Drosophila melanogaster: one gene and its partners. The gene in region 3 interacts genetically with the main gene of each other region. Each region holds a gene or a part of one and is shown on either strand. Other genes may lie near its edges. The genes, in order: dgo, so, gish and stan.

Region 1 (9,310 bases), on a different chromosome or scaffold from region 3:
CATTGAGAAAAAGAAGAAGCGTAAAGACAATCCAGATCTTGGTTTCTCCACATACGAAGCTCAAACAGCTAGACAGTACAACCGATTGGTCAAGAGTATGCCTGCTCGCGATTTGGAAAAGTACGAGCGCCAGAAGGAGGAACTCGGTGACGCCTTCTACGGTGGAGCACACACCACTTTGCATTCGAGGACGAAGGACACTCCAGGTGCTATTAACAAAATGGTAACAGACCTGGAGCAGCAGATAGAGCGCCGCAAGAAGTACTCTCGCAGGAGGATCTACAACGACGATGCGGATGTGGACTTCATCAACGAGAGGAATTCCAAGTTCAACAAAAAGCTGGACCGCTTCTACAGCGAGCATACAGCCGAGATCAAACAAAATTTGGAGCGGGGAACAGCTATTTAAGTTTAGTATTTTATTACCCTTAAGATTAGAGTTCAATTTGTGCACGTATAATTTTTGCAAGTGCAGTTTACATGAAATTCGCCTATAATACCACACAATCGTCCAATTGTTTACACATAAAAGTTTAAACGTAGGAAATGTTGAAGCTGGAAGATTAAAAAGTAAACTCATTATTTCGATATTAGATGTCCAAATTTTTCATTTTATTTCGCGTAACTTTGTGAACATTCATCGTCGTTTGTTTTCTGAATGAACGTAGTAGCGTTTTCGCCCTTTGTTTCCTGTGCACAAAGTACATAGTTGGATGCATGGTCGGTGAAATAAAACGTCAATCTACATATCAAACTCCATCCCTCTACGATGTGAACTTGGTGTCTCTAGAAGAAGAAGCCGAGAATTTTGCCTCCCAAATGTTTTCTCCTAGCCTCCTCGTGGTCCATGATGCCGCCAGAGGTGGTGAGCACAACGTAACCAAACTGACGCGAGGGCAACAGATTGTTGGTCCACTTCTCGATGTCGTTGATGGGCGCATCGAAGCGGGGCGAGATGACGCCGCACTTGTTTAGCCGACCGGTCAGGTTGACAACGATCTTGCCGGCACGGTGATCCTCGACGATCTCGAATTCGCCGATATAGCCATGCTTCATCATCACGGTCAGGAACTTGATGATCACCTTGGAGCAGGGACGCAGCAGCACCTGCCGCTTGCCACGCTTCTCGGCGTTGTTTATGCACTTCAGGGCATCGGCCAATACGTTCATACGCACCATAGCTGGATTTGTTTGCCAAAACTGTTTTACACGACCGTCACGCAAACGTGAAAAAGGGAAAAAACCTTTACTTGAAAACTTCCGTAAGTACTTCTCTTAGATGTAGTTCAAAACTAATTAATGAAAATGTCAAATTACTTATGAAGCGAGTTGGCAGCTCCGTGTCCAAGAGCAAACACTTATTTTTAAACATATCGATATAATGCAGCAGTTTAGTGCGCGGGAGAAGTATTTGGTGTCCAACACCTTAAATTGTTGGCCCGTGATGCTGCAGGGTCATTCCGTACTGATCGATCTGCACAACGAGACCTCTGTGGCCGGAATCATCGATGTAGCGGATGGACACATGACCTGCGAGCTCACCCATGCAGTTTTCATCGATCGCAATGGTGGTCAGCACCCCTTTGATCACTTTATGGTGCGGAATCGAATGATACGGCAGATCCACATACCTTCGTACTTGGATGCCGAGCAGGAACTTCGAAGCGCAATGGAACGGGGAGTCCTGCGAAGAAAGCGAGTGGAAACCAAGGGCGGAAAGCGGACATTCAAGCAAAAACGAGCGGAAGTGCGACACAAGGAAACATTGCAAATGATCTCACAGCAAAAAAAGAATAAGGAAACCTAAACTATTAATATATGCGTACTTGTTATATTTACCAAAAATACATTACATACATACAACTACATTTATAGTAATAAACCTATGAAAAGCAAAACAAATTAGCCCAATCAATTATACACAAAACATAGTCTCTAGCACGTTTATTTATTCCAAGAAATTCAAACGTATACAAACTGAATATCTTATATTCCCTTAATCAAAACTCTACTTAGCGGCCTGCTGCTTCAACTGCTCCTGGTACATGTAGTGCAGCTCCATGCAGTCGGTGTTGGAGATGTTTACCCAGCCGTCCTCCTTAATGTGATACACGCGAATGATACCACCGGAGTAGGCATCCCTGAAGGTGGCATGGTAGATGGCGCGACGTCCCAGCTCCTGGGCCTCCTTGTCCTCCAGGTCCCAATGATAGCCAGAGTCCAGGACACCGTAGGCGTACAGCGATCCACTACCAACAGAGAACAAATTGCCAGGCGTGCGAGATCCCTCGGAGTCCACATAGTAGAGGCCTGGACCACGCTTATCGTAACCGGCCAGCATCATGCCCATGCTCAGACCCATTCCCTTGTATTCGTGGGCAATGTTGGCCATTATCTTGCTGGCGGCGGCCACCGAGATGCGTTCCTTGTTTCGAAGCTCGTGAAGGCGGCATTCCTTCGAAAGGACCCTGTCCCAGTAAACGCAATCGGCTGCGCCACCGGCCAAGGTGCCCAGCATGAACTGATTGATCTCCACGATCTTCTTCATCGACTGGGAGCCAATGTACGATCCACCCGTGGCACGGGAATCGACTGCCAGGAGAACGCCGCCCTTGAACTTGAAGCCCAACGTTGTGGTGCCGTGATCGAAGTTGATTTTGACGCCGGTCTTGTCGCCATTGGCCTGGATCTGATTAAGGTTGTGCAGGGGCTGAGGAAATTGTCAAATTTTTTAGTAAATTTCCCAAGAAGATCAGCTAATTAACTACATACGTTCTCGAATGGCGGAGCAGCCAGTGTGTAGGGATTGGCCAGATTGCACATAAGCCCTTTTTGCTCTTCCTCCACATCCGCCGATGACCAGGCATTGGGCCGCATGTACGGAGCATTCGATATCTTGCAGATTTCAGCTAAAGCCATTCTTAAAGCTCCTTAAAAAACAATTGGAAACGTTGAATGCGAAATGCCGATGACAAACAAAATTCGTTGCCTACTTGTAGAGTGACCGTACTTCTGTTGGAGCAATAATGCAGACTATCGGCTTCACCGTTAGCTGTCGCAGGTACGGCAACCCAGCTCGAAACCTGTTGCCAATTTTGCCTGTGATTGGCTTTCTTTTAGTCTCTTTTTAGGCCTGGCTTGAAGCCAAATTAACTCTGGGCGTTCCATCAATCCATCAATGGCCAAATACTGCAAAGTCGGGTACTGAACAATAGTCGAAAGTAAACATGTGTAAATACGTGAGAGTGGCGAATTGCAATGCGTAAATTGCGGTCCAAAGACGGGATTTAAAATTAGTGAAAAGTAAGTCGGGAATCGAGAAAACCTAGGCGCACTTTAAACCTGGTTTTCAGGTCTAGAAATTTACTGTAATAGTGTTGAACATTTAAGAAACCATACATGTTTTATCAATGTGTTATAATGAAAGACATTTAATCTACCCTCAAAAAGGTTGTATTTCAAATTACGAGTCCTTTATTTGATCGCTTTTGGTAACTCCCACTTCTATTTGTAATGACAATTACTACGTGGTACGCCATTACGTGAGGCACACATACATGCGCATACACGGCTAGAAAATGTGCGATCGAAGATCAGATTCATTTGATCCCAGGTCAAGTTAAGCTCTTTCGTCGTCAACAAGGTTATATCAAAGAATACCATCTTTCATATGATTTTCGACATATAAACGATTCTAACGGTAATTACGGTACTTTAAGTAAGATTTTTCATTTATTAAAGACAAAATGTAGTTCTAATATAAATAATTTTTTTAATTTTATCTGGTTTTGATAAAGTGTTACTTAAAAAGTTATAATTGCAACACATCATGATAAATGAATGAAATTATAATTTAACAAATTTGATAAATAATGAATATTTTCGCAGACAATGCAGCATGGATCCTCCCGCATTCCGAAACAGGAAGCTCTCCCGAATGCGATATCCGGGGTAAGTAAGGGCACTTGCCTGAACCAACAAATCTTACACCGATGTAACTTCTTTTTCTGATTTAAGCCCGACTCCAGCAATTGGACTTCGCTGCACGAGGCGGTAGCCGCCGGAGATGATCGCCGGGTGGAGGGTCTCCTGTTCAGCAATGCTGATCGACTGGCCAGGGAATCCGTGCAGGGGAATACCCCGCTCCATGAGGCCGCCAGTCGGGGGTTCAGTCGCTGCGTGAAATTGATCTGCACGCCCCCCACGCCACCCGCTTCCTCGGGGGTGGGAAAAGCAGCAAAGGGACAGAAGGACAAAGACAAGGATAAGAACAAGGGCAGAGTGAAGGTGGCCCACCAGACCATCGAAGCCCTACACAATAGCGCCCTGGGTATTGCCAACAACGAAGGGTTGTCCGCCCTGCACTTGGCCGCTCAAAATGGTCACAATCAGAGCTCTAGGGAGCTACTGCTGGCCGGCGCCGATCCCGATGTCCGGAATAATGTAAGTGTTGGATCATATCAGTGATAACCATGTTTAACATGTTTAACAATTTCAGTATGGAGATACTCCGCTGCACACCGCCTGCAGATATGGACATGCAGGAGTCTCCCGGATCCTGCTCTCCGCCCTTTGCGATCCGAATAAAACAAATCTGAACGGCGACACCGCTTTGCACATCACCTGTGCCATGGGTCGCAGGAAGCTGACAAGGATTCTCCTAGAGGCAGATGCTCGGCTGGGCATTAAAAACGCACAAGGCGACTGCCCCATGCACATAGCGATCAGGAAGAACTACCGTGAAATCATCGAGATCCTGAACACGCCGAAGAAGATACGGAATCGCAAGGAGAAACCCAAGGAGGGCGGCAGCAGATCGGACAAGGACAGAGATCGTGAAAGGGATGTGGTGGACAAGGGTATCAACTGGTCACCCTATGGCTGTCACTACTTTCCCGATCCGCGTGCCTTTCCTTCACCAAAACTGGAGACACTGCCCAAGGAGCCACTTAAGTCGGGGGAGCAATACTTCCTGGATTTGGCTGGTCATATTCACAAGGGTCCGGTCAGCGTGGGCAACACATGCTATTGCGGTCCCTTCTTCCGTCACATTGAAAACAAACTAAATTGCAATCGAAAGAGTTTGAAGAAATACGTTCACAAAACCAAGGAACGTCTAGGTCACAAAGTTCAGGCATTGGCAATCAAGACGAACGATCAGATTGAACAGCTCACAAGAACGATGATCGAGGACAGATTGCGATGCGAGAGCAAGAGGCAGCACCTCAGTGAGTTCCTGCGACGAGGTGAACCTATGCGGTCCACCTTCGATCAGCAGAACAAGAGCTCAAGGATCGAAAGAACAATGTCCAGGTGCCGCAGTCTAGAGCTCTTGGAAAACAACCACGAAGGTGGTAGGCTCACCAACTCACGGAGTGTAGATGTCCTGGAAGATCAGGCAGTGGAGGCTATAGTACACCGATCAGCGGAGGTCCAGGTGGATAGCGACAGCGATGACGATTCCAATGAAGCTCGGGATGAAGAAGAGGCAGAAGTGGGTGACAAGGACCAGGTGCAAGAAGAGGCGGAACCAGAGGAGCACTCGAAGCTAGATGAACTTAAGCTAGATTTCCTAAAAGTCTCCGAAAGACTGGGAGTGCTTTTAGAGAAAACCACCCTGATCATGGAAAGGGACAGCGAACAGGAGAGCAAGCGCCAGCTTTCTTCCTTATCGCCACCTTATAATCCCCATCCAAGGGCGGAGTCTGCCCAACTTCGAGAAGATAAAGAGAGTGTTAATAGTCCCAATTTCGACGAGTACGCCAACGTGATACGACGCTATCCGAACTCCAGTGAGACCTCAAATCCCTCCCAGAACTCCAACAGCTGGGACTGGGAGGCATCACCCACGGGCAGCAATCCCCACCCGGATTACAATAAGTACTACCAGCGCATTGGGAGAGGAGAGAACATGCTGAACTCGGTGATCAAGGCGCTTCGAAAAGATGCCTCCTTCGCGGATCTGGGCAAAGAGGAGACGGCTGTCAATGAAACTGCCGAGGGAATGGGAGGCGACAAGCTGCTCTACAAGGAGCAAGCGAGCGAGGCGGCAGGTATCTCCAATCTGATGAAACGGCAGCCTCTTTGCTTGGAAGACAACTATCCCGTCATGTCGAATTTATTTTACTCCAATCCCATCATGGAGTACGCCGAGGAAACAGAAGTGCGTCAAAATGGCAATGAAAGTATGAGTAAGGTGGAGATTCGGAACAGTGAAATCAAGTGCCTAAAGAAGCCGAACGCTGGTCAGGTGAGGGATATGGTGGCCCAACTGCAAAACACCATTGACTCCAATCGACAGGACTCCCAGACGGCACATGTGATCGCCGCAAGATCACACTCCCGCTTGAACAATAACTTCCATCACTTGGAGGGCACCTCTTCGAACCCTTCGCCCACGTATAGTATTCCCCACCGGAGTAGCGCCCAGTTTGGGCTGCCCGAGAGACACATACCCAAAGATGCTTACTTCCATGAACTGCCCCACCGTCCACCGATTCCGCAAACTCCGCAGAGAAGGCTGCACTCCGGCTACGTACCAAATGCGAGTCTCTATCGCAGTGAAGATCTTTACGTGGGAAGGATTCCACATCCAAATGCTCCACCAAGACAAGTGGACTACGTGGATGCGGTAGCCTATAGGCCTCTGCAGTCCCCCACCTTTCAGGCCATTGTGCCGCCCCATGTTAATCAAAGGCCAAGGAACTGGCCTCATCCCAATCTTCCATCCAATGAAATCGATCTGGACGAGCTGTCTGCCGTTGGCCTCTACAACAATGTCTCGAGTCTAGTTTGAGTTCGGTAATCCCACAGCTGTTCCCATTGTACATAGCTAATCCCTACATATTTATCTTAATTGTAATCAAGTTTTAAACTACAAAGAAAAGTTAACTTATTTTCAACTGATGCATCTAATCTGGAGGGTCTAAAATATATAAATATAATACAAAGATATATGTACAATAATTTTGTTGTTTTTTGTTGAGGAGTTTTGGGTCTGAGTGTTTTCATATTCTGCGTAATTTATGAGAATATCGTGTACTTAATTATTTGGTTATTCCACTTTTGACCCCAAAAATACCCAAAATATTAAAAACGTTCCAACCTGCTCGCTTGTAAATCAAACGCAACCGAATGTTTTCGATCAAAATATATTTTTCTTTAAAAATGTTTAATAATAGTATTTATGCATGTGTAAATATCAGAATGTCAAGTACATATATTTATTGATAACAGATCATTTTGGTGTTTTGATAGACATGCGGCTTATGAACTCTGTATAATTGTGTAAACGAAATCAACCAGGAAATCATCTCAATAATCGAGCTCCGATGTTTGGTGGGAATTCAAAAAAACCAAATCCCCACCGCTGACAAAAGTAAACAAGTAAATTGGGCAACATTTTGATATCGTTCACCAATATGTCTGCGGTATTGTTAGTACAATTTTAGCAAGTGCCTAATGATGATTTCTCGATGTCTTCGTAGTTAATTTAAAATTCTATAAATGACACTGCTGCTGAACGGCGCCTGCTACTTAAATTTATCGGCCACTTAATAATATCTTAATTCTGAATAGTCATATTACAAATACAAATTACAATAGCCAATAATTTAGTCACTTCGCATGTATGTATAAGTATGTCTCAATGTAGGTTTGTTCTATGTAAGTATGTATATGTATATCGCCTAATTTAAGTCTATTAATAATAGTTGTTGCTTTCTATTTAGGGGGCGTTGTTGGCTTGGAAATTGATGTGACATGAGTAACCCGGCTTTTTGCTCTGCGTAACTTAACAATGTTGGTCTCAGGACTGTTGTTTTATGTGAACTATGATCGCTTGTGTGTCGCCAAGTGACATATTTTCGGTCAGGTAACGTCTCAAAGGGGACTGTTGTCGGAGTCTTCGCGCTCTTGGATTGTGGTAATGCTTTGCTGCAAGGCATTCGGTGTCAGCCATTCTCTAAAAAACAACATAGAGTAGTTAATAATCATGAACTTGGCTTTTGTTTCACTTAGAAAGGCTTACTTTGGCAAACATCTTTGTAGAAATGGCACACAGGAGCTGAAATGCGCTAGACGATTGACCCAGCTGGGTATTTCTTGGCCGCAAAGTATCTAGAACGAGTAATTGGAATTGCAGATATAGTCAAATGAATATTCATTTGGGCTTTTAAGCTTGCATTTTCTTGCTCCTAAACTCGAATCGTTTGGAAGCATCTAATTGTATTGGACGTGTTTAGGATGGTAATCTGTCCTACTTTTTGAGGTGATTCACAATAAGAACTTCTGATTGTAACAGGCGGTATCTGACAATCGGTGAATCATGCATAAGCACACCCAAAATATTGCTTGATATTGGATCCACCCAGTGGAAAGTTTCCTCGATTTATGTCTCACCTGAGTTAATGAGCCCGAGAAGTGGTTGCAATTGTTGTTCATGAGATGATATCGGTCGCCACGGAACTGATTACCCAGCTCCTCGACGATACGTCGCACCTCCTCGTACGTAAAGTCGGTGCAGCCGATTTGGATGCTCTGCCGGAACTGGAACTGATCGCCCAACTCGTCGTGATCCCTCGGTGAGATCTCGAATACCCCCGTAAACGGAAATGGATGTCCGCCGTATGCGAATTCGGTGCCAAAGGCTTCTACGCCGGAGTGAAATACGCCCAGGCCGATTGAGGTGGTGTACTCGTTGATCCAGTACTGCAAATGCAAGGTTACATTTATCGTTGTGCGATGTCCGCATGGGCAACAGGAGTAAGTAAGCTTACCATATCGTAGACATTGAGTATAACAGGCTCGCGAGTACCCATATTGGATGGCAGTAGCTCTTCATTACCGATCTCGTCTTTTGGTACACTGAGACAGCTCGGAAACGACAGATTGCACGGCAATCCGTTGGAGAACATTGATTAAATGCGTCGTTGGTTTTGTGGGGCTTGAAGTATATGAAGTCTGCAATGCAGGGCCTTTGATTAATCTCGATTCACAAGCATATGCTGGTTAAAAGTGTGTATATACATATGTACTATAGCCACTTTAAATGAAGACTTAACTTCAACCGATTCTCATATTGACGGCTTACATACATATATATTCCGCATATATATGTATATAGCCGCGAGTGCGTAAGATACATATATCGTATATGGATGCAGTTACAAACATGCATACATATGTGTACATATGTGCGTATGTATGTAAGTTCGTCTCGGAAGAAATGTGTCATAGTGTAGGAGGACGACTTACACCTGTTCAGGGCTATCTCAGCATCCCATTTTCCAAAACAGAAACTTAACAAATC
Region 2 (7,754 bases), on a different chromosome or scaffold from region 3:
ACTTCTTGGCCGCCGCCGCCCCTCTCCCTTCTCCCCACCCTCGCCACATGGCACCCGAGGCGACGCTTAACTCATTTTTAATATGAATAATTGTGGCAAATTACAAGGCAATTGCATGTGGCCATTCCCCCGACCACCAGCCACCGCGAAGGCGACAGCGAGTGAATGTAAGTCCGTAATTGAATTGGCGGCCAATTATCGGAAGGAGATTGCACGGCGATCGCCAAGGGACGCGTGAGAGAACTTTTAAATTTCCGGTGGATAGTTGGGTGGGCAGTGGTGGTGGCAAGAAATAGGTGCAAGGAGTCCCTTTGTACGGAGAACTTGTGGGTTAGATGGGGTCAATGGCATGCTGGTTTCTAACAAACACAAAGTTTGGAAAGTACGATAGTTTGGGATTCAATTTGACTTGAGCTCAGCAACACAGTTGGTTTCAAGAGACCAATGAGTTATGAGTCAAGTCCCACCTTAAACGTAAAATATTTATTTCCCTTGATATCACCTGGTTGACGCTAAGAAAAATGTGCAAAATTTAGATATAAATCAATTTAAGGTGCTATGAAAACAGTTGCACATGTTTATTTAATCTTACATCAATCACTATTAATCTAGTTAACTGTTCGAATAAACGTGAACTGTAGGCTTGAAAAGTAAATAAACGTAAAAAATATAAACTATAAAATAAGTTCCCTAAATATAAGTGCCTTTCATTAAAACTTTAAACAAAGTATTGCGGTTAGCTATTAGAAATTGAGAATATTTAATACCTACTATAGATATAAACAAAAATATATGGAAATAATAATGGAATCTACTCTGTTATTAAATGGTAAAAGGTGATTCAAATAACAGAGATTAATTGCTCGTCAAAATCATCCAACTCAGTGTCTTTCAAAATTTAGGAACACATGTAAGTATCCCAAAAAATTTACATAAGGATTTTTCCCTTGATTTTTATAGATTTCGATTGGACTTTTTAATGAATTCCTTTTTTATTTATTTTATTTATCAGGAAAAATGCAACCTTATGCTTTTCAATACAAAGCAACAGAAAATTTGAAATATATTATTGAGTCCAGATACTAACGGAGTATCATCGCCCCAAATTGATGATTAGCCCAGCAAATGAGCAACTAATCCCGACGAACTGAAAGCTAATTACCCACACGTACCACAAAAGGTCTTCGATTCACGCAGTGTCGAGATTTATGGCGCAAAATTAATAATAATTTCAAGCGAATTAATAATGGCCAGTGAAGGAGCCTGCTTTATGGCCACTTCCAGATGATTAACAATGTGCGCACGATCCGGCATGGAGGACCATAAAGTTCAACACGATCTGACTGTTTGTTTACCATTTCTAATAAGCGGCAGTGTTGCCCCATAACCCAGCCCGGCTCCTCGGGCGCCTGGAGTCTGAAGTGTGGAGTGAGGAGTGAGGCGCACCGGGTCCGGTGGAAGAGTGGAGGGATCGTCATCGGAGGAGGAGGAGGAGGCTCATTGTTTGGTCCGCACAGCAGGTGTCCGGCGGAGAGTTTAGGGGCGCGTGTGCCAGCCTCGTTATTGTCTTCATTCTTAACACCAATAATGGAGTTCGGGGCATTCGGGCTTGTAGGGCCCCCCATCAGACAGATGACTTTCTCCATCCCTTTCTCCGAGGAGGCGGGGGTCATCTCGAACCGCAGAACGTGGTGTTGATCGCTGCATTGTTGTTGGGCTGCTTGCCTCGTTTTTCTCATTCATGTTGGACAAGATTTTTATCGCACTTTTTCATTAACATTTTGTGGCATCCCGTATCGCTGCCTCTCCATCCAACTTTGTTTTATGGCCATCTTTATGTGTTTTCTGGTCCCTCTGGCATTCCCAACTGTTGTCGTTGCCGTCTGTCTTTCTAATTCGATTGAAATATGATCTGTTATTATGTAAATTTTACGATTTCCTAATTTTTTTAACACTTATTTTGGCTATCGGTGACTGTCGAGGCCTGGCGCCAAAACCTTATCGATCGCTGTAAACGATACTGAAATCGCCAGCGGTATGGATCTTCACTTGGCATCTGATCTGTGTGGGCAGTTGCCGATCTTGATTAGGTGCACCGGCCTGGCGCCCCATTAGTCCATCATCTTTGTTGGATTTCGATCGAGTTTCCCAGCTCCGTTTCCGAATTTGCATTTTGGGTGGTCCTCGATGCGATTTTCACGGCACACGCTGAGATCGAGCTACCGATAAATGGGACAGAATTTTAATAAAGAAGTGCTGAAAATAATACCATTTGTCTAAGCGGTTCCTCCAACAACAGGTACTTTGACTAATTTCTATACATTTAGCGTTACATTACATTAATTACATTAATTTACATTAATTACATTAATTACCATCTACAAAATTCACTAAGCAGTGTAGTACTCTGTGATTTAAGTTGACTATTTGTATTCAAAAAGAAAGTTAGGCATTCTGAACGCATCGCTGCACTTTGTACAGGTGTCTCTAGATCATGTTAATAGTTTGAAATTAAATTAGGTTCAAGTTATTTCAGTTATCATGAACAAGGACTTGAAGACGAAAGGAGCCTGTGTATATAGTAAATATTTAGTAAACTAAATATATTAGTAAATCATTAACACAATTAGTTGGCTTCAATTACCAAACGGCTTCATCTCCTTCGGAATCATTAAATAATACAATGCAAACCGCACTAATGTGGAAGGACCACAAGGTTGAGTTAAACCAAAAAAGTGGAGTGAATGAATATGAGAAAAGGCCAGTAATTGCAATTATACGAGAGATGCATGGAACTATTGCGGTGAGTAATTCAAACGGCATTGTAGGATGGCAGCTATTGCACCGGGCATCCTTTCAGCCAGGATGAGGAGTTCCTGGGGAGGAGCAGCGATGCAGTTGCAATCACCTCCGATTTCCGCCTTTCAATATGGCGCCCAATGCGCATGCCTTTTTGCTGGCATGCGTTTCCGCTGACCAATCAGCACGTTGCTGTCCTCCAGTGCGCCGGTGTGCGTGAGGGCATCTATGTGTGTGTGTGTGTGTGTGTGTGTGTGCGAACAGGTAAGCCGAGGGGGCGTTCTTTCGGTCAACCTGTTTATGCGCTCTCTCGCTCTTTCGCACGCTGCCCCTCTCGCAGTGGCTGTCAAACTGTTGTCGATTGGCACCGTGTGTCAAATTCAATGGCTACACGTTTATAAAAATATTTGTCCAATTAACTTAACTTAACTTAACTTAATTGTAAGCCACTTTAAAAATATATAAAACCATTTTCTAATGTTTTGAAGATACAATAGCATATAATAACGGAAAAATGTACTATGTCTTACTACGAAAACATTAGAATACAATAAAATAAAATAGAATAAAAATAAAAACACTTGTAAAGGCAAGATATTGAAAACAACTAAAACGTAGTGAATTCTGAGTTATCATCAGTTCATATATGTGTAATCATGAACTGTGTGTGCCCAGTGACTTTATAAAAGTCAGTGAATGTAAGTCTCGCTTCACTTGATTCCATTATTTTCCTATAACGTTTTTGGAAAGTGACGCACAAAGTGTCGGTGCATCCCACTGTGCAGTTCACCCCCTTGGTGTTCGCTCACTCACACACTCGCACGACCAGTCGGCCATCTCGCTCTGGCGCACGCACACCGCCAGCGGCACCAACCATTTTCTGCCTTTTGTCTCGGCCGTTTTCGGTTCGATTAGGTTTGAGAACCGGAGAGTTCTCAGTTGTTTTCGAGATTCCGTCGCGTGCGGTTCGCTGCCCGTTCTACCCACGTCGCTCGCTTAGTAATCCAGGCCGGATCCGGCGGTCTTTTGACGTCCCGCGCACAAAGTTATATTTAATTTGCGTGTTTCCTGAATGAACGCATCAGTATCGCGCCACATAAACGCACACGAAGCGAGAGAAAAGCGAGCAAAATTGAGCTAATCAATCCGCGGGCGGCCATTTTTTGTTGGCACTGCCTCAGTGCTGTCGTCGCAGCTTTGCCCACCAAATTTGCAGGTGCAATTTGTCCGAGTCGCGCAGGACAGCGAAGTTTTCGCGAAAAGTAATTTGCAACACGTGTTCGCACAGTGCGTATGAGCAATATTCAACGGCAAGCTTGTGTTAGTTAGTGCCCAGTGTGATCGCGACTAAGAGTGTGTGCGTGCGCGAACGGCACATGGCTTCGATTTGAAGAGTTTGGCCAAAATGCAAATCAAGGAAATGCCGCACAGCCGAAATCAGCGCCTTCTTGGCCAACTCTAACATTTGCGGATATAGCACAAGTCGAATCGGAAAGCCAAGGCAAAAGGCACAAACCCAAACAAAGAGTAACAAACAAAAACTAACAAACTCGGATACGTATCAACAATAAATAATCAAAATACAGGTGAGCAGCGAGATTCAGTTTTCATGCTGCCGACGGCAAAAGTTTACTGTGGAACACTAGAAACCATGGCAAAAATATATGTAGATGCATAAGTAGGACGGATATTCTTTCACAATAAGAAAAACGAATGGTATATGGGGGATTAATTTAAAATAAAATTGGCATTGATACTTGAAAAAGGAGATATAATAACTATGATAAATTTCGGGACGATTATGTGAATAAATATAGCTAATATTAGATTATACATTTCCATATTGGAACCTTAAAATTATAAAACCATAAATATATACAAAAGTTTCAGAAAAATAATAATTTCAATAGGTCAAACTAAGCCTTAGAAGAACTAACCACATGTTCAAGAAATCACTTATCACCTATAGATAAGATCATAGAACATAGACCTTTTATTAAACATCCCATACGGTTAAAATGGAACTTACAGCAAAGCGTTATTCTTGATTAGAAAAGCCTAAAGTTCTCTGAGAAAGTATCAATCACTTTGCCTATTTGAAGACTTCATTTAAAAATATATTTTAGTGCTTTAAATAGCCTTTAAAGCGTGTGCAGCGAAAACATTAATGCAGTCCATAAATGTCACGGCGTATCTCTATCCGCTTTCTAATGGATCAATCTATCATCGAAGTCCATAGATTCACAACGTTTTGCCGATTTCAATGAGGAGAGCTGAGAGCCAAAGTGCACTTCGCTTTTTGGCGGCGTGGCATTGGCGAATTCCAAATGGCCAAAAGCCATCGGAAAACCAACTCGAGGCACTTGAGAAGCAATTCTGAGGGAATCGAAACGAAGGCAAAAGCACGGGAATTGCATGTTCACTTATATTTGGAAAGGAAACTTGTTTACACACCAAAAGAAAAATTCTGTTGTTTTATTCACCGCTCAATTTTTTTCTAAGTTTTCCACGTTTCCAAGTTGGCTACTCAACGGCCCACCCACCTCAGATGTATTTATTAATTAGAGGAAAAGATATGAGATGGATTTGATCCAAAGGAAAAGTAGTTTCCAGTTGTCATTCATTCATCGCAAAGGCTTTCCAACCGTTTGGTGCTCGAAACCAACGCACACAGTGTTTATTTATGAAACCATTTGGCTTTATCATTTCGTTTCTCGCCACAAAATTTATGAAATTATTAACTATAGCGACTGTTTGGCCGACAACTTTTGTACTTCGTGTGAGGATGAGTGGGCGTGGACCCACTTTTGTCCGGCTAAATTCGATATTTGCGATATTCGGGGGATTGGGAGCGTTTAAACGAATTGGCCAACGCGTGTTTGTCGTCAGAAGTCGAATGATTAATTGAGTGCAGAGATGGGAGCAGATGTTGCGTACGGTTCTGGTTGCCTATTTCGGATCATCAAGATACCAGCCATGTGGATTCCATCTCGGAAGTGGCCAAATTGACAAATTTGCGCATTCCATTCGCCTAGATTCGGGACTCGGGCAGAAACAGATACAGATACGCAAGTTTGGCCGCAGCAGCTTTGATCATTTTACGCACCGGCGTGCAGAATCCGTCGTAATTTGGGGACGAGCTCCCCACCGGCGGGACTTTCGACCAGTGCACTTCAGTTTCATTCAAAGTTTGGCAAATGCGGCGCAGCAAGGCGAAAAGCAGCCGACATGCAGATGCAGATACATTCGGCTGCGGAGGCAGAGACACATGTGTGTGCAACCCATTAAATTGACAAATTTCATTCATTGCGCCGCGCTCTATTCGATTTCTTTGTGCGTAGCTCCCTCACGCGGCAATTAAACGGAAAATGTTAAAAATAGTATCTGGCGGATAGCAGCGATTGTCTCGACCGTTTGGCAGCAGCAGCGCTTACTAATCCCGACCAGCGGCCAGAAAGCCGTTCGAATTACCCGGAACGGGGGCTGGCCCACAACAGGTTGCATGGCACACGTCTTCCCAGTCCTCAATCCCCAATCCCCAATCCCCAATCCCCAGTCACAGTCTCAATCCCATTCCCATTCGATTACATTGTATAAACACAGACGCCGGAGCAGATGATTTCGGTGTTAGCCGCGAGAAACAGGCGCACTGTTTGTGCTTTTTGCGATTGCGATGGCACCATGCTCCAAGTTGAGCTGGGTGCTCCTCGAGCTGGGGCACACTTCACCTGCAGAGTTCCCGAAGTGCACTTAGGACTTAGGGCTTTGGAACTGCCCTGCGAGTTGAATCGAATCCATCAACAAGTCAATCGTAAGCTGACTTTGATTACAAACTAATTAGGCGAACAACGCTTGCAGCCACGGCAGCTCGAACAATTCAATTTGATTAACAGCCCAATAGAGTTAGGTGTCCGCTTTCAGATTTCCAGGGATTCCACGACATTCAAATTAAAATCTTATAAAAGTAGGAAGAAGCACAGGGGAAGGGGAATGGGGCAAACACGATACAGAAACAGAAACCAATAGATAATAAATTACAGAATTTGTAAAATAAATTAAATTAATTTTATTCGAATGCCACAAAAGTCAGGCAGCTACAGGCGCGCGATAACAGATCTCCCACAAGGCGAACTGAAGAGGCAGCCAAAAGATACAGATAGAATATCTTTCGAGGCCGCTGCTGTCGTAGCTGCTGGTGTTCTTCTTCGTTTTGGGGCAGGGACTTCCACTTCCACTTGGGATCGTGCAACGGTACAGGGCCATAAACCTTGGTATGCCAGTATGCTATGGTCCAATGTGGCTGAAGAGCTCAGAATCCGATCGAATGAGGCGTAAATCGGCTCTAATAGTTCGGCAATATGTCCAGAATGCATTGTGTCCATCGAATATTATCCACTTGTGAACTGAACTGCTGGATTGCTGTTGGCCAAAACAGATTGAAAATTTATCGCGTATTGCGTTTCACGTTCGCATTTTGCTTGTTTACTTGCGTCAAACATGAAACAGGCCATCGAAAATACAAAATACAAGCAGCGGAGAAAGAAGAATCGCAGCGAGCTGAAGAAATCGAATCGATGGAAATCTTCGGCGAGGCGGCGGCTGCGGGGGATCTGGCCTAGGCCGATGACTCAAGAGCAGCCAACTTGGCGTTGGTATTTTCGTTACAGCGGCAGCCAGAACGAATCTCTATTTTCTTGTTTCTTGTTCCTTGTTTTTTTGTATATATAATCTGGCCGGCACACACGAGAACTGAAACCGAAAGCAGATCCAAGAATATCTCGACTCCGATACACGAGAATCAGTGTGCATATAGCCCGATCTTTAGCTTTAGCTTTTGTGGGGGGGGGGGGGGAGGGGCCTAGATACGCAGATATCTGTGGCTGATATATCTACATATATCAGTTTATTCGGACAGATCGATTGCATTGTTTTGAAATGTGAAAACATCGTCTATA
Region 3 (7,714 bases):
CAATGAAGCCGGCACTGCGCTTCCAACTTTTCGCCAATTTCGATAAGAAATGCAGTTTTAAGAGCACGCAGTGCACCAAGTTCAGTGGGCCACTTGCCGCTTTGCCCGAGCTGGATTACCACACGCTGAATGCTGCTTGCCAGGATGCGGTTTTCTACCAGAAGCGCCTGTGGGAGAACGGGCTGCGGCTCGCAGTAGCGGAAAATGGGCGAGACGCCTGATATGGAGACTATCTCTAGAGGAAGATCATTCAGCCCGTGTAGTTGGCGTGCCAACTCATCATAGCAGCGGATGACGTGCGGACTAAGTGCCTCTGCGTCGGTATCTTGACCCAATGGCAGCTTGGTCTTTAGCTTATTGACCTTAAACCAAGGAGACAGCTGGTAGACTTGGTCCAACTCGCCGCCAATGTATTGTACTTCCTTGCTGTCCAGTTGTAGGTGATGCTCCAATAGATGCAGCACAATCTGGCGAACAATTAGTCGCTTCTTGGCGGGTGAATCCTGGGCGGTCCCCCAAACCACAGCTTCTGTGATGCTGCCATCCTGAAACCGACGTAGGTTTGATTTCTCTCCCCAGAACCGTCGGAATTCCTCAGCTCCCTCATGATCATCGTTGGCAGCAGGTCCTTTGTTTAACACCTGGTATGCGTGCTCTGGCTGAAGTATAAGGCCCAGTTGAATATACTTCCCAATAACGGGCGCTTTTTTTTCCACAGGCCAGGCGGCTGTCGCAGTTTCTAAGGGTAGTATGGAGTGGACACGTTCAGCAAGTCCCTTTTTAAGGAGCCTAAAGTTATGATTATTATTTCTTTGTAAGTTGCCTGTTTAGCTTAGTTAACTCACTCAGTCAGTAAATGTAGCAGCTGCGGGTAACCATAATTAGCAAAATCGTACTTAATTCGAGGATGCGAATGCAGTGTAAGCATTTGATTTATGCATGAATAATTGGAAATCCTGGGGAAAAATAAAGTTTATAATTGAAAAACTAACATTTTAGCTTCACATACTTTAAGATATTATCCACCCTGCTGTACAGTGGACACTTTTGCATAAAGATAAGCGGGAAACTGTTTAGCTTCATGTCGTTCAGTAGTTCCACCGCCAGTTTGGCCTCCTCTCGAACTCTCTGATACAGGTAAAGCGGAATATTTGCGCATAGATTATGCTGTCCAGTGAAGTCTATAAAGCAAACGTCATAGTGTTCGGCAAACTTGTTTAATTCTTCCGTTTGAATGGGAGCAACAGACAGGCTAATGCCTTTCGTCCAGTCCGTGTTCGCCAGTTGGTTCCATACAGTGCGTGCCACTTGGTAACTGCTGCTTGACTGATGCAGAATGCGCTGCGTATTTAGGTACACAATAAAAGCGGCTAAGATGTGGGCACCAAACCCACTGTAACCTATGTCCAGTTGCCTCTGACGCAACCATACTTTAAGGAGCAGCAGGCCGTCCTGAAAATTACGCCTGCTCTTAAAGGCCTTATCCAATTGAGCCTGGTTCTCGGACAAAGTTAGATCAAACAGTACGTTTGCGTTGTAGTGTTGGGTGGAGGGCAGCGGATCTTTCTCGTCCCATTCGTCACCGTAAAACGAGGGCCGAATATTGTTGTTCCAGGGAACAAATCTGCCTGGCTTAAAACTGCTTAATGGGGCAGTGATGAACAGACGCACTTGCAGGTGCTTGTTTACTTGCTTAGTAACTGGGATCAATTCCAGAACCGGCTTAAGCGGGTTGTTAGCATAGTAGTTGAAATTAAACTGATCTTCTGCATAATCTGGGGACTCCATCATCCTCTCCGTCACATAAGTAAGATACAAAGCTCGCTTCTGGTCATAGCGAAGGTTTAGGTAATCTTCTTTGTGCAGGGATTCTTTTGGCATCTCCAGGGCCACATCCACTACAATTTTGGGACCCAGCAAAGTGCCCGTGGCGGCGGCTCCGATCAGATAAGGTTCCCTGGTGGGCTTGGAGAAAACAAATCCGGTCGGCTTTTCAGAAAGCTTCATTGGAACTTCCAAGTGGGTACGCTCCATCAAGCCATCCTTTAGCTGTCGGGTAAAGGCCGTAAAGGATTCAAGCCAGTTTTCAATGAAATCTGTGTATTTCTGCTTTAACTGCAGCTCCTCCAGCATTTCCTTAACTTGAAGCTTAAAGAGATTGGAGTGGAAGAGATTTTGGGTGTCTCGTAGCTCCTTCATCTCCTCCAAAGTGGGCGGCTTTACATTCTTGGTACCTTCTCTCTGCTTGAAGTTGTTCTTCTTTGGTATGGCAGTGGATGGTGGGTCGCTCTTGGCGATTTTGGGTTTTGGTTCATCAAGGTCGCTGTGATCCCCGGCATGTGCAATTGCTTGGGTACCTGTTCGAGCAGCTCCCTTCGGAGAGCCCACCTAAACAAAGTATGTTATAGGCCAAATAGTTTCCATAAAGATCTAGACAATCTTACCAACTTTCCTGGCATGATGTTTCCCTGTACAAATCGCATATAATATAAAATTTATTTACTTGTTGGAGAGAGAGCTAAACTCGCACGTGTTGCAGATGCGGTATTTCAGAATTCGGTATTTCATTAGAGGTTTTTGTATGGTCACCCTAGAACTGGGCAGATTCGTTTTTTAGTCCCAAATCAGCCGCAAAAACAGTGTCGAACGTAATTATAATTAAAATATTGAAAAGGTTTTATACACTAAATAAATTAGAGCAAAATATATTGCATGGTACACAGTTGTTGAATAAGTTACAAATTTAGACAATGTGAAGTGTAAATGTCTATACCAATTGCCGAGAAATCCTTGGATCCAGGACCAATAAATAAGATAAAATTTATAATATTATAAAAACAAATTATCAGTTAAACGCGAAAGATATTACCGTGGGCCTATACAGTTTTAAAGAGTAGATAAACAAATTTACCGGCTAATTGGTTTCGCCAGCAACAGTATTTTAAACAGTATTTTTATTTCATAATTATGTTTAAACATCTTTTATGTAAAGAGGGCTTTAGGTAAGTTCTGTCTTTAGCACAAGTATATAAGTATCTGTTTAAAATAAACGGGAAAAGCTAATTAAATTATCCCATTTTTCTTTTACCAGTAATCAGCATTAAATCAGCCTAGAGTATTTCCCTCGTTTTTCTATACGGTCTTACTCCGTCTCTGTCCATGTATAAGCGTGTGTGTGTGTGTTTGCAGGCAGGGGAAAAAATCGCACCATTTTTCTCGTGCTCTCTTGCGTGCGTTTTTTGGTCTTTCGAGGATTGTTTCGTAGAAAATCAGTTAAACACAAGCCCAGCTTAATTTATAAAAAGTAGTGAACTAAGTTGTTATCCAGAAATCGACGAGCGCACAGTAGCAAATCGAGTTGCAAATTTCAATATTCGGTCCGAACGTGTGTAACTGTGTCTGTGCGTGCGTGCGTGCGTGTGAGAGTGTATGGGTGAAAAATGAGGCGTAATGAAAATGCGTGCAAAACTGTATAAAAGGTAAATCGGCAGTTAAAAGTTGCCTAATTAATAAAGCCCACAAGTCGTTCATTCCGTAAAGATCAAAGCAAACCTTATAAAATGATGCGTTGGCAGAAAGGAGGCCCATTGAAAAAAATATGGCCAAAAGTCGAGTAGTTACACCCTCTCTGCCTCTTTGCCCCTCTGCCTTTCTTGGTTTTCTCTCTCTTATTCTCTTTGGGTCTTTGGCCATCGCCGCCTTGGCTCGTTTTTTGCATCGAATAACAAAACTTGAAAATTTATAAAAATAAACGAAATCACGTACGGAAATATTTACTTCGACCTTGCGGCCCCAGAGATTTTTCCAACAATTTATACGGCGCGGTGGCCATGGCAGCTAATTAGCCTAATTTTCTGTAATTTTCTAAATTTTAATTTGGTACCTTTTAGAAGAGAGTAACTTTCATTTGTGCGACGATGACTTTAAAAGTTTTAAGTTAAAGTCAATAGTAACTCTTACTAAATTAAATGAAAATCAATTGAAAAAAAAAAACAAATTTAGTTAGCGCTCTCATCAGTGCTTTTAGTGTGACCAGCATACGCTATGGCTGGCCTAACATACCAAAAGAAATACCGCAGTTTCGTACATTCATTAGTCTATTTACTATTTTTATTATCCATACAGAATGAAAAATGTTTAAATCGTCGGTAATATGAGTTTTTTTATATTTTGTATCAGTTAACATGATCTTTCGTCAAAACATTCAAAGCGCTTGGAATTAAGACCGATCTTTACGTTTACAATTTTGTTTATTCAGCTCTTTTACAATTGCTTTAACTTTTCCATTCTTATTTTTCAGATTGCTTTGATTTCCACGATCGTGAGCATTAAAAGTTTAGGCGTGATACTGACCGGTTAAATTTCCCTTAATTGAAATTTAACTACATATTTAAACAGCAACATAGTCCCTTTTGCCTAAAATGTCATCAAAAACTGGGAGGAAAAATATCATAGCAACAATCTGAATGAATTCGGAGATTCAGATCTGTTGTCACAAAAATTGTTGGATAAAATGTGCGAAAGTGTGTTTGTCAAATTGTTTAGCCAAAATTATTTGTTTACATAGTTGTTCAGCGTAGCACGAGGCTGTTTTCCTTAATTCTTAACAACATAGATACACTCGCCTTGGCTAATTTACACCGGAACCTAAAGCCGATTAACAATAGGAAAATAGTCCTACGACAAATAGCCCGCCTTTTGACATATGAACACATAACTAAACTACCACACAGCTCACCAAAAACATAAAATAAATTCGGAAAGTATAGCACCAAAGCTGAAATTTCAAGGAGATGCTGCTCAAATTTCATACTTGATGTCAAACAACGACGACCCCATAGCAACAACAACAACAACAGCAGAAAGAGAAGGAAAAGGAACAACTGGAATAACTGTAAGCTAGCGAACAGAGGGAGAGAGGCAATCTCTGTACACACACCTGTCGTCCAGCGGGGGAAAGAGCAAAAGAGAGCGACGGATCTCCCGTGTGTGTTGTTCGCATGCGCGACATGCGCGGACGCTAAGTGAGTGTGAGTGAGTGCGCGAATGCGTGTGAGTGTGGGCGGTGAGGATAATTCGCTCAATTCGCACGCATCCCACAGATCCTGCAGATCCTCCAGTTTGTTCGTCAAACAGAGTCAGCATTTCGGATCAAACCAGTTGCCTGTCAGCAACATTAACAGCCTCAACGTTGGAAAAAAAAAAACAAAAGCAGCAGCGGCAGTCGATAAAAAAATCATTATCAAAATTACGGAAAAGCGATCAAAATTCAAGCGAGATTAGCTAGGCGAAATGCAGCGACGAGAACGGCAAGCAAGGTGAGTTATGATTGTGTAATTGTATATCGATTATCCCCCAAATTCATAAAGAGGTAATGGTTCTAAGACTCTTTCAAAAATTAAAAATTAATCCTACCATTTAAGTTGGCATTGCTTTTGGCTACAGTATTGAAACCCATTTATAGTTTTCTATTGTCAATCGAAAATCAAGATAAGCGAATCTAGCCCACTGGCTTTATCCCTGCTTTTGAATCTGAATCTTTTGTACGCCCCTTAGCTATACCTTCCAACTCCAAGCGGTACTCAAATTTTGACTAGAGACCATAGGCTTGCGACTATTTATAATTTTGCATTGATAAGCCGTGCTAAAAAACCATTGCCACTATCTACGGAAGCGACGTCTGTTCTCATAAATGTTCCATATTCGGTACTACAGTACACTGTTATCAGGCGTAGAAGCGGTTGGATATTTTGATAGCGATAAGATTATGGCTGTGTCGGGAAACGCGTGTTTGCAAGTTTTAAAACCTAACAGTTTTGATTTGGTTGGCTTAGTTAACCAATAGAACTAGCTTTTCTTTCACTCATAAAACTTTTTAAAATATTAACGAATGCAAACTGCGAATTTTTAAAGAAAATGAGTCTGGTTTAAAATAATTTTATTTCGTTTAACATAAATAAATTTCCATAAAGCTAATTCCTTTTAATTTCCTAGCGAATACTGTACATTGTCAAAAGTTCAAGCAACAGATTTAGTTGTAGCTGCCTTTTTTGCCGAACGATTTTATTTTTAGCAAAGAGATGTTTCTATTTAAACTTGTGTGTTTGATTTTATTTTATTTTCGCAAGTGTTTTTGTTGCTTTTGGCTTATGGCGTCTGCTTTTTCTCGCCTCTGGCACGCCAGCCAAACTAAGAAGAAGAGCCATGAGAAGGGGGTGAATGAAATGGGTTTCCAATGCAATACATAATACCCACATACATACATATGTGGGTGCGTGATAGATAGCACCGGTCTTTCGTGTAGGAGAGCGGGAAACGAAGTGCACACAACTCACGCACATTATAAATATTTTATAGGCATTTCAGTCGATCGGCCTCCTTGTGTCAGGCCGACGGAAGAGCCGCCTTTTTAGCCTTGAATGTGGGTCCAAAGCTTTCGTTGCTGACGATTTTACCTCGTGTTCGCTTATTGACATTTCTAGGTTCTTGTTGGGCCGAAGTCTTCCTGTGTCTGTGTATCTCTGTTTTTGTTTTTTATAGTTCTTTATACATACGTACGCGCATATGTTTGCCATTGGGTCTTCCCAATGTTTGCTGTCTGCATTTTCGGGTCTTCCAGCTATATATACTCACACAAAGCACTTGTTTGCTTGTCGCTCATCAAGATGGGTAAGAAACCGGGGACTTCAGTAGCACCCTTTATCGGGGATTCTAGTTGACCTCTGGGAGTTATATAAGAAAAGCAGAACTGGGAAGTCAGAAGACGTAGATTCTGGTCCTGCGAACCTTGAATGTTGTTCTGTGAAATTAAAACTGTTTCATGACCCGTTTTAATAGATTTAGGTTAGGTCACAACTGGTGGTGATTGAGCCTTTTCTCTTTAACGTTTACTCAACAAAATGTATGAAAAAGCAAAAAAAAAAAAAATCATGTTACAACATTTATTTTCCACTCCACCGGCGGTACATAATACAAGAAAACGGAAAGCAACTAACCCAGCTAAACTAACGTAATTTTGTTGCTAGCCAACAAAACAAACTTACTCACACCCATCTAGATATTCACATTTCCACACATTTTAGTTGGAGACAGCGAATGTAATAAAAAACAAACTTTTTGTATTACTTTTTATTATTTAATAGCCGAGCTATTATGACAAGTGAATGGTGCAGGGGCGACGGGGATAACCTAAATTCTCAGTTAAAAACGAGAACAAAACCAACATAACGTAGGCCACGCCAGTCTTGCCACCAGTCATTCGTACAGCACGAACTAGCGTTGTTGGTTTAGTATCAACATATATTTAAACATGATTTTAAATTATGTTAAGGACGCCTGCCATAATTATGCTAAAATAGGTAAAATATAGTTTTAAATTAATCAGCCTTATAGTCGAAATTACGAAGCAAAGAATCTCTAGTTATTATTTTTTTAAAATCTACTTGAGAAACGTACCTCTTAAATAATTTTACGATTTATTTAAGAGTTTAATCTAGGGTAGCTTTACTGTATGAATGAGGCAAAAAGAACAGCAAAAAGAAAGCCGAGTTGCGTGTAGCGAAAAGTAGCTCCAATAATAATACAAGAAAAACGCTGATGAAAAGCGAACGAAAGCAAGAGGATAATGGCGGGCGATGGACTGGGTGACCAGTGAGCGGCAGCTGTGGTGCCCCATAAAAGCAAGGACAAATTGCGGATTTAGCAGAATTATTGT
Region 4 (7,808 bases), on a different chromosome or scaffold from region 3:
CCCAAATTGATAAGTCTAATTAATGCAATTGAAACAAATTTCTAGCATGCAAATCGACGGCACGGCACACATCTCTGGGCTCCCTGGCGTTTGGGCATACTCTGGATGCTTGGACATGCCTCATTAGCCAAAGTGCCACAAACTTTGGCTCCTCTAATTGAATTAACACTAATGAGGTCTCTCGCACACTCTCGAACTTCTGAATCACCCGATGCCGAGCTTGCCGATCCCGATTCCAGCGACGTGTGAATTCCTATTCCCCATCTGCAAGGGAATGGAACATCCTTTTTGCCACATTATTCATGCATTTGCCAACCGCAACCCAAAAACCACCCGCTCTACTTGACGTGATAGTGAATTTAGCAAAAACTAAAAACATCGTTTGGGGGGGGGGGGGGGCGGATGCGCCTGATGTGCAGGGCTGTCAATCAATCAATTTGGGCATCCAGCCATGGACAGGGTTGCCACCACACCGCTTCGGTTGCTTTGAACATGCGAGATTTTAGTTTGCCAACGGCCAAACAAGCTGTAATTTCATCGAGCAAGGACACTAAATTCCAGATTCTAATTGACGCATAAATATGGTAAATTCAATTTGTTTAGTTCATACAACTTCTGAAAGCCGGCATTTTATTAAATATAAATTAAATTCATTTTATTTCATGTTTTTAAGACATGGTCTTTCGAGTAAACAAAATAAACGTAAGTCAATATGGAATATAACAAGGCATTAAGCTTTTGCAGTTCAAACTTAGATATTTCATTGAAAGAAAACAATTTCACATAATATTTTTCCTGGGCATTGCGTTGATAGTTGATAGATAGCTTTTCGGAGCTAAGTAAATATTTAATTGGTATATGCTTTCACAGCCAGCATTCATAATTCATTTCGTGTATTAGACTTTTCCACCTGTTGAGCATCCGAAATACAATTATTAACGAAACCAAATCAATATCTAATTTCAACGGAGGAGCCCAGAGAAACATAGCCAACCAAATGCCATCAATCATGCGATAGACGCCGCATGACATAACCTATCCAGCTGCGTCTGGATTTGCTTCCATCTGTATTTGTATATGTAAATGTATCTGACTGTTTTTTTTTTCGGCTGTATCTACGGACCACTGCTGCCGTATAAAACTGAACCGTACGTGTGTATATGCATCAATTAAGCTTTTATTCTAACATAACAATTTTGAATGTGGCCGAAACCAGTTTTGAGTGCGCGACCAAGAGGGCCGATGCCTACGCAGAAGTATCTCATGGATAGCCGTGTGAGTAGTGGCCAAGAGAGGCCACCATAAACCCACAAAAGATACCGAAAAATGTGGACCATCAACGTCATCAATGAATCTCTGGTGTGTGCACACGAATTCGTCCAACTCCATGCCATGCAAATCTCATTTGGCCATTGGCCCTCTGATTCTGTAATAAATTCCACAATAGACTGTTGATATTTTGATGGACTCAAGCCGGTCACAAATCAGCCACATTAACTGGCACGAGACAGCATTCAAATGTTAATTAATCAAGAGTCATAACGAGTTTTCCTATGCCGGCATGGATATCGAATGGATTGACTGAGGTTAGTTCGCCGTGCGAGTTGGCTATTCGCAGTGAATGTGGCATCAGAAGCCGGAAAAAATCACCTTTTTCGTTGGCTCCTTGGCCAACTGAAGTCTTAACTGATCACTTCGAACTCAAAAAAACAAAAAACATAACCAATGAAAAACAGGTTGCGGCTACCGAAGAAGAAGAGGATGCGTTCTGGTCAGGATGATGGCCCGTAGCGGATCTGCCTGCCGGTGGTGGATTGCTCCTAACCTGGCCGAGACAGCTGCAAAACCGCGAAGAGAGCCAGGCGCTAACAAACTCATTTTAAGCACGGTAAAATATTTTATTTACCTACTTTTTCTTAAATTTTATTCAAGTAATTCCTCTACTACAACTTAATCTTTATATCCGCAATTATTTGATTTCAAATATAAATGGATTAAACTCATTCTACACATATTTCAAGAAAACAGCCTATTGTAAAAATTAAAGGATAACACCTTAAGCCTTTAACTCTTAATATTAATCGTCTTATAAAATATAATAGAACGACATTTGATGTTTTTGTGTGTAACTAAACTTGGATCACATAATTAACCTAAGTAAATAACTTTTTTTTCTCTGCACCAGCCGCAAGAAGAATGGGAAAAGGTTGGTAACACGCCGAGAAAGAGAGACAGAGAGAGCTAGAGAGAGGCAGGGAGAAAGGGGTCGAACGAGGAGCAGTAGCAGAAAACCAGTCTTACAACAATTTTTCAGCTACTTGCCACTGGCAGGCTCAAAATGGACTTGACTTGACTCTTCCAATTGCACCAAACACACCGCATTCCAACTAGAAAATCATAAAACATAAATGTGCGAGAGTATCTGGCCCCCATCGAAATATAACAAAGGCCCTGTTAATGGCCTCGAAAATAAAATCTATCTTAATAAATTGGCAATCCGACAAAACTGAGTCGAGTGAATAATGTATCCAGCAGATAAGTTTGTCCCGGCCTGCTGAAATATTTATGCGCCAGACAAAGGGCGCAGAAACAAAGATACAAACGCAATGGCAAAGGCAAAATCCCATGGACAAGTGTGAAATGCAGGGAAAACAAAGCACTTGCAACGCTCAGATACAGATACATTTGTATCTCGTGCAGGCATTTGATTCCACGATTCCCCGATTCCGATTTCGGTTATGTTTTGACCCAACTCTTCTCCTTTCTCTCCTCGCGCTCTCCGCGTTTTTGACCCACGTTTTAATGTGACTTTTATTGTGCTTCCTCCTTTTGTTGTCTCATTTGGTATTCAGTTTAATGTTTGTTTAGAGCTTCGCGTTTGTATCTTTTTGCGATGGCTCTGAACTTTAACAGTTGCACTGTGTGAGCGTCGGACTTCGACTTCGACTTCGGCCATCGGCCAACTGTTTGGGCCAACTGCTAATTGGAGATGGCCAAGAAAGAGGCCTTAGGTTTAAAGGCCCAATTGGAGCTCTATTTTATTGCCGAAGCCCTAGAGCTGAAAGCCGTTAATTAAGAACGTCTTAAATCGAAACATTTCAGAGGTAGCCAGAACCACTAAGCGTCTTTCCATATCATATAACAAATAAAGGTTCTAGCAATATTTCATACAGGCCCCCATTTATATGCAGATACAAAATACTTTTCTAGAGCTTATAACCCTTTGAAAATATGAATTACGCGATTCCGCTATGGCGTAAGCCCTTAAATACGAAGTTTATCTAAGAGATTTAAGGCCACGCCTGCGGAACATATAGTGTCCTGTTGGAACGACACCTGTCATACGTCATGAATCAGGTGTCATGCGTCGCACAATTCCCATTAGAATGCAGCCGCATCCCGCCCACAAGGACATATGTATATGCGCGAGCACATGCACATATCCTTGATATATCCTGGCTGGAACGTGTGAACTTACAGGCTTTTGTTTGCTCTGCCGCTGAATTTCCACGCGTGGGTGGCCAATAATCCGCTTTAGCTGCACGGCTGCATTGTTAAATATTTATAATATTGCATTTAAAATCGCGCATCCGTGTTGTTTCCTCTGCGTGAATCTTGTGTTTGTATTATTAACACAATATATTATAATTAGCACTCGCCAGTTTGTGTGACTGGCCTCACTCTAGAGCACTGTTTAAACTGATTTAACTATTTTGATTCCGGGAAATTCGAATAATTCGAATGCTAAACCGACTATAACCCCGACCGTTAAGCTGGGCGGCTAAAAAAAGGGGGTGGTTGTTGGAAAAGCCAACGCACTTTTCTGAAAACAGCAGGCGAAGAAAAGACCGCGCGCTAAAATTCACTGAGAGCGAGGATTGTTGTATGTTGTGTTGGCGAAAAACCGGTAATTTCGACCGTCGAAGTTGTTACTTTGGGTTTGCGTTTACCTCTGCCTTTTGGCTTTGCACTTGCCTTTGCATTTGTCTTTGCTTTTGACTTTGCAGAGACGCGCACGCGTAGCCCCGAGTGAAAAATAATACCGTTCTTGCTGGCCAAACGCTCAAAACGCGTCCAATCGGTCCGGAGTCGCAGTGGTAACTGGCAAAACCAGAAACAGAAACTGAGTTTCTTGCTAAAACTCAGTTGGAAGCCGAAGCGAGTTCGTGTATCCGATGGATACTTTCGTCGGTGGTGGATTTTCTGCGGGGGGTGACTGCGTGTTGCAGCAACATTGCCGCGACTGTTGCAACATGTTGCGGCAGCAGAGAGAGGTGCCACCAAATTTCGGTTTGCATCCCCGAGCATAAAAACGTGCAATTTGATCCAGGATTCTTCAACCTGTAGGATATTCAATCTTTGGAAACTTCGAAAGTCTTTTTCTTATCAGTAAATTAGTTTTGCAGCACGCTTTGCATGCTCAAAGATTTAAATCGACTCAATTTATTAAATGTGATATTTATATAATTTTACTACTATTTATTAAATAAATGTTAAATAAATGTGTTATCTGTGCATCGGGCCAACACCTGTAATCGGAATTAGTTTGCGAATCTAAAGATGGTGGAACATTATCCCTTACGGGTAAAACTTGAACATAAAATTGCTAACTTATAAATTTACATGTGGTGTATTCATTTGTTAATATTAATAAATAATATTCCATATAGCCTAGTTTTTGTGTCCCACCAATAATAATTCATTTTCTGTTGAACGCCTTGGTTTGAAAACTAAATAAACAAACAAACATATTATTTGGCATAATTAAGCGATAGTCTAAATCAACGCAATTTATGTTCAGAAACATAATATGCTAAAAGTTCACTGTCAAAACCAAAAATGTAGTACACCATTAAAACCGACCAAATGACCGTTTTCCATGTTATGATGAGGTTCAAGTGTCAAGAGCTGTTAAGTGAATAGTTTCAATTACGAAGCCATTAGGGATGAATCATTATTCCAATTGGGATCTATACATAGGTATGCCAGAAATTCGCATGTTCCTGCTTGCCATTCGATTAGATTTCAGTTTATCGAATTATGCAAAATATTTAATGCAATTTTGGTTGGCAGAATTCGGCAGCAGTGATAAACATATGCTGGGACCCAGAAACCGAACAAGCTTTTGGCCCACAAGGACAACAGTCGTGGGTAATGGCTACGCTGGTAGATGTATGTATGTGTCGGCGGAATTTATAGCTTACAGGAAGGTGTTGGCCAAGACATCGTCGTTTGGCCAACAACTCGCATTTGGCCAGCTGACGTGGTCCGAATACTTCCGAATAGCAACGAATCGAAGGGATTTTGGGAGGAATCGAAGGAATAGGAGAATAGGAGACCGAAATGGGGGTTTCTTGCATGTAATTGACATTGGCCCCTTGCGTTTGATTAATTGCATTTGGTTGAGGCTCTTCCAAGCCATTGACTCGGAATGCTCTGAATTCCCCCATTGATCTGTATCCGTGTCTATGTAACCTTGTGGCCATGTGTAGCTAGCTGCATCCGTAATCTGTAACCGTTTCAATTTGTATCTGTGTGCTTTTTGCGGGGCAATAAATTCGACATGTTCGACATGCTTTCCAATTACTGAGCGCTGGCATTAAACAAATGCAGCACACTTGACACACGTCGAAAGCCGGCAGCCCTTTTCGGAGATCGGAGTTGGAAGATGGGTTATCAGGAGGGAACAAGGCCAAACCTCCACGATTCAGCGTGTCCAGCCAAGCAGGCCAAACACTTGGAAAAATATCACTTCGAGGAATTTTGTTTAAATAAGCAAAGTCCGATTTTTGTATTCAATATAAATAAACAATCTGAGAGTAGTAAAAAAATATGTAAAATGCACTCAACGTATCAGCGTCTTCTTGTTTATGTGGCACATTTTTGTTTGGATTGAGTGGCTATCCATCCATAGTGTCCACATCTTTCTCTCTCTGCAGGACGAAGACACTTGTCTCTGCATTTGGTTTATGCAAGTGCCGCCTGCGAGCGATATAAAAACGCAGGAAGGGGAGGAAGGCGAAGGGGTTTTGCTGCCGCTTCACTGAACCTCAATGTGCGCAAGGATGAGATGGGAGGTTGGTTAGTGGGCGTAGAGGTCAGGGTGTTCAGTGGGTGGCGCTGAGTGGGGGGGGGGTTGGGGGCGTGTGGGATCGGAAGAAACATAACTCAACAATGCAAAGGACGAGCAGCGGGCAAAAAGCGCAAAGCAAGCCAAGGAGCCACAGGCTGCATCTTCAGAAGGAGCAATTTGAGCGTTCTTTCGCTCGACAAACGCTGCCCATGCATAGTTTATGATCCCCCCTCTCATATCTATGCATTTTGCTGAATTAAACCAACTGCACAGAATGTCGCAGATAATTCAATGCACCTACCTACACACAGCACAGTTTTATGGCTCTCATTGTCATCCCCGTTCTCGTCCTCGCAGCGTTATCCTGCAATGTGGAGGAGTCGAAAAGTGCCACGAGGGTAATTTAAAAATCCATTTGTGTTTTGAGATTTCGCCGGCAGGACCTGGGAGATGTAAGCTGGCCAACAATTGCGGTTAGCGGTGTGTAGAAAAAAATACGGGAAAAAAAATGAATGAAATAGGAAAAGGCATGCTGGAAAATTGGCGAGTGCGGAAAATGGAAAATGCGAACGTCAAATGCCCGACTTGACTGCGTGACACAATTTCAATTTGCATTGACAGCATGAATTATAGCAAATAATCCCCGCCGGCAAATGCGATTTTAGTGATGCCAGGAGCTTCAGTTTTCCAGCTATCCAACTTGCCAGTTTCCCAGTTCTTTCCGACCCAGGTCAAGCTATTTTCCTGGGAGCAGGGAGCCGGGAATTCGAGGTCCATCTGTTATTGATATGGAAATGATGCGCACACCAAAAATAGAATGCCGCTCGAGGAAAAACAAGCAATCTTGCAAAAATAAAGCAAAGCAAAGGACGCGACTCGAAATGAAATAAAATAAAACAGCGGCAATAAAAGCAAATATAATTTAAATTTTATGCAACGGCAAGGAAAGTTAATTTTGCCCAACAGAATGGGGAAAAAAACGCAAAAAAAAGGGGGGGCAGATAGCTACTGGAAAAGAAAGAGAAATAGAAAAATAGAAAAGAAATTGTGAAAATTGTGGAGAGAGCTAATGAGGAGAAAGCCAAAAGCACAAATATGAGTGGACGATAGATAACCAAAAATTCTCCTAAAATGGCAATTTAAGCTTAAATTTCACAAGTATTTTACCCAAAGTGAACGAAAATCGTTAAACATTCAATACATCCAAATGCGATGATCTAACTTTGAAACCAAATTAATTTATGCATAGCGAGTGGCGCAATCCTGCAAAATTTTCTCAAGATTATTTTTTTGACAGCACAGAGCTCCGAAAATTATACTACGCTTTTTATCCCGATTGATTGACCTGGCCTGAATAAATTCAGAGCTGAGAAATTTTAGTTTATACTTCTAGGAATTATATACTCTTATTCCATTTAGTATTTAAAGATAAAATGTTTTTCTGATTAGAAGAAAAACTCGGATTGCTTCTAATAATTAACCATATTGTTATCTATACAAATTTTCACACTCCTGAAAAGATCTGCAGTACTTATGTAGTTATTTACTCCAAATATCAGCTGTCTGATGCTTTACTCTACTCCACAGGATTTCTAATTATTTTTGCCAATTTTCCGTGGCTTCCTAGAGAGAGAAGATCTCTTTACAATCACAACATTCCGCCAACGAAACGTGGCAATGCGAGCACTCCACTAACTAACCACCTGAACTACTGAGTCCTGCGGCTGCCCTCTCC

The links.
Region 1: of gish (region 3) and dgo, changing one enhances a phenotype caused by changing the other (phenotypic enhancement), as found in Drosophila melanogaster (one study listed by BioGRID).
Region 2: of gish (region 3) and so, changing one enhances a phenotype caused by changing the other (phenotypic enhancement), as found in Drosophila melanogaster (one study listed by BioGRID).
Region 4: of gish (region 3) and stan, changing one enhances a phenotype caused by changing the other (phenotypic enhancement), as found in Drosophila melanogaster (one study listed by BioGRID).

Annotation. Positions count from the first base shown.
Region 1 is NT_033778.4:10,813,682-10,822,991, reverse strand, and holds dgo (diego), read left to right. Parts: upstream 1-3,107; 5' UTR 3,108-3,700; intron 3,701-3,888; 5' UTR 3,889-3,891; coding exon 3,892-3,951; intron 3,952-4,017; coding exon 4,018-4,443; intron 4,444-4,498; coding exon 4,499-6,796; 3' UTR 6,797-6,955; downstream 6,956-9,310. Other genes in the region: CG12343 (uncharacterized protein), read left to right, coding at 1-409; RpS15Ab (ribosomal protein S15Ab), read right to left, coding at 787-1,179; Lsm10, read left to right, coding at 1,382-1,807; Prosbeta5 (proteasome beta5 subunit), read right to left, coding at 2,009-2,710, 2,773-2,919; CG7222 (uncharacterized protein), read right to left, coding at 7,882-7,963, 8,030-8,118, 8,401-8,709, 8,778-8,915.
Region 2 is NT_033778.4:7,415,614-7,423,367, forward strand, and holds the start of so (sine oculis), read left to right. Parts: upstream 1-3,736; 5' UTR 3,737-4,385; intron 4,386-6,882; exon of another isoform or gene 6,883-7,218; intron 7,219-7,285; exon of another isoform or gene 7,286-7,381; intron 7,382-7,754. UniProt on the Drosophila melanogaster protein: Required for visual system development. May transcriptionally regulate genes necessary for optic lobe invagination and Bolwig's nerve formation.
Region 3 is NT_033777.3:16,269,852-16,277,565, forward strand, and holds the start of gish (gilgamesh), read left to right. Parts: upstream 1-3,149; 5' UTR 3,150-3,479; intron 3,480-4,300; 5' UTR 4,301-5,292; coding exon 5,293-5,318; intron 5,319-7,714. Other genes in the region: Mat89Ba (maternal transcript 89Ba), read right to left, coding at 1-789, 846-956, 1,010-2,388, 2,445-2,483.
Region 4 is NT_033778.4:10,669,640-10,677,447, reverse strand, and holds the start of stan (starry night), read right to left. Parts: upstream 4,104-7,808; 5' UTR 3,479-4,103; intron 1-3,478. UniProt on the Drosophila melanogaster protein: Involved in the fz signaling pathway that controls wing tissue polarity. Also mediates homophilic cell adhesion. May play a role in initiating prehair morphogenesis. May play a critical role in tissue polarity and in formation of normal dendrite fields.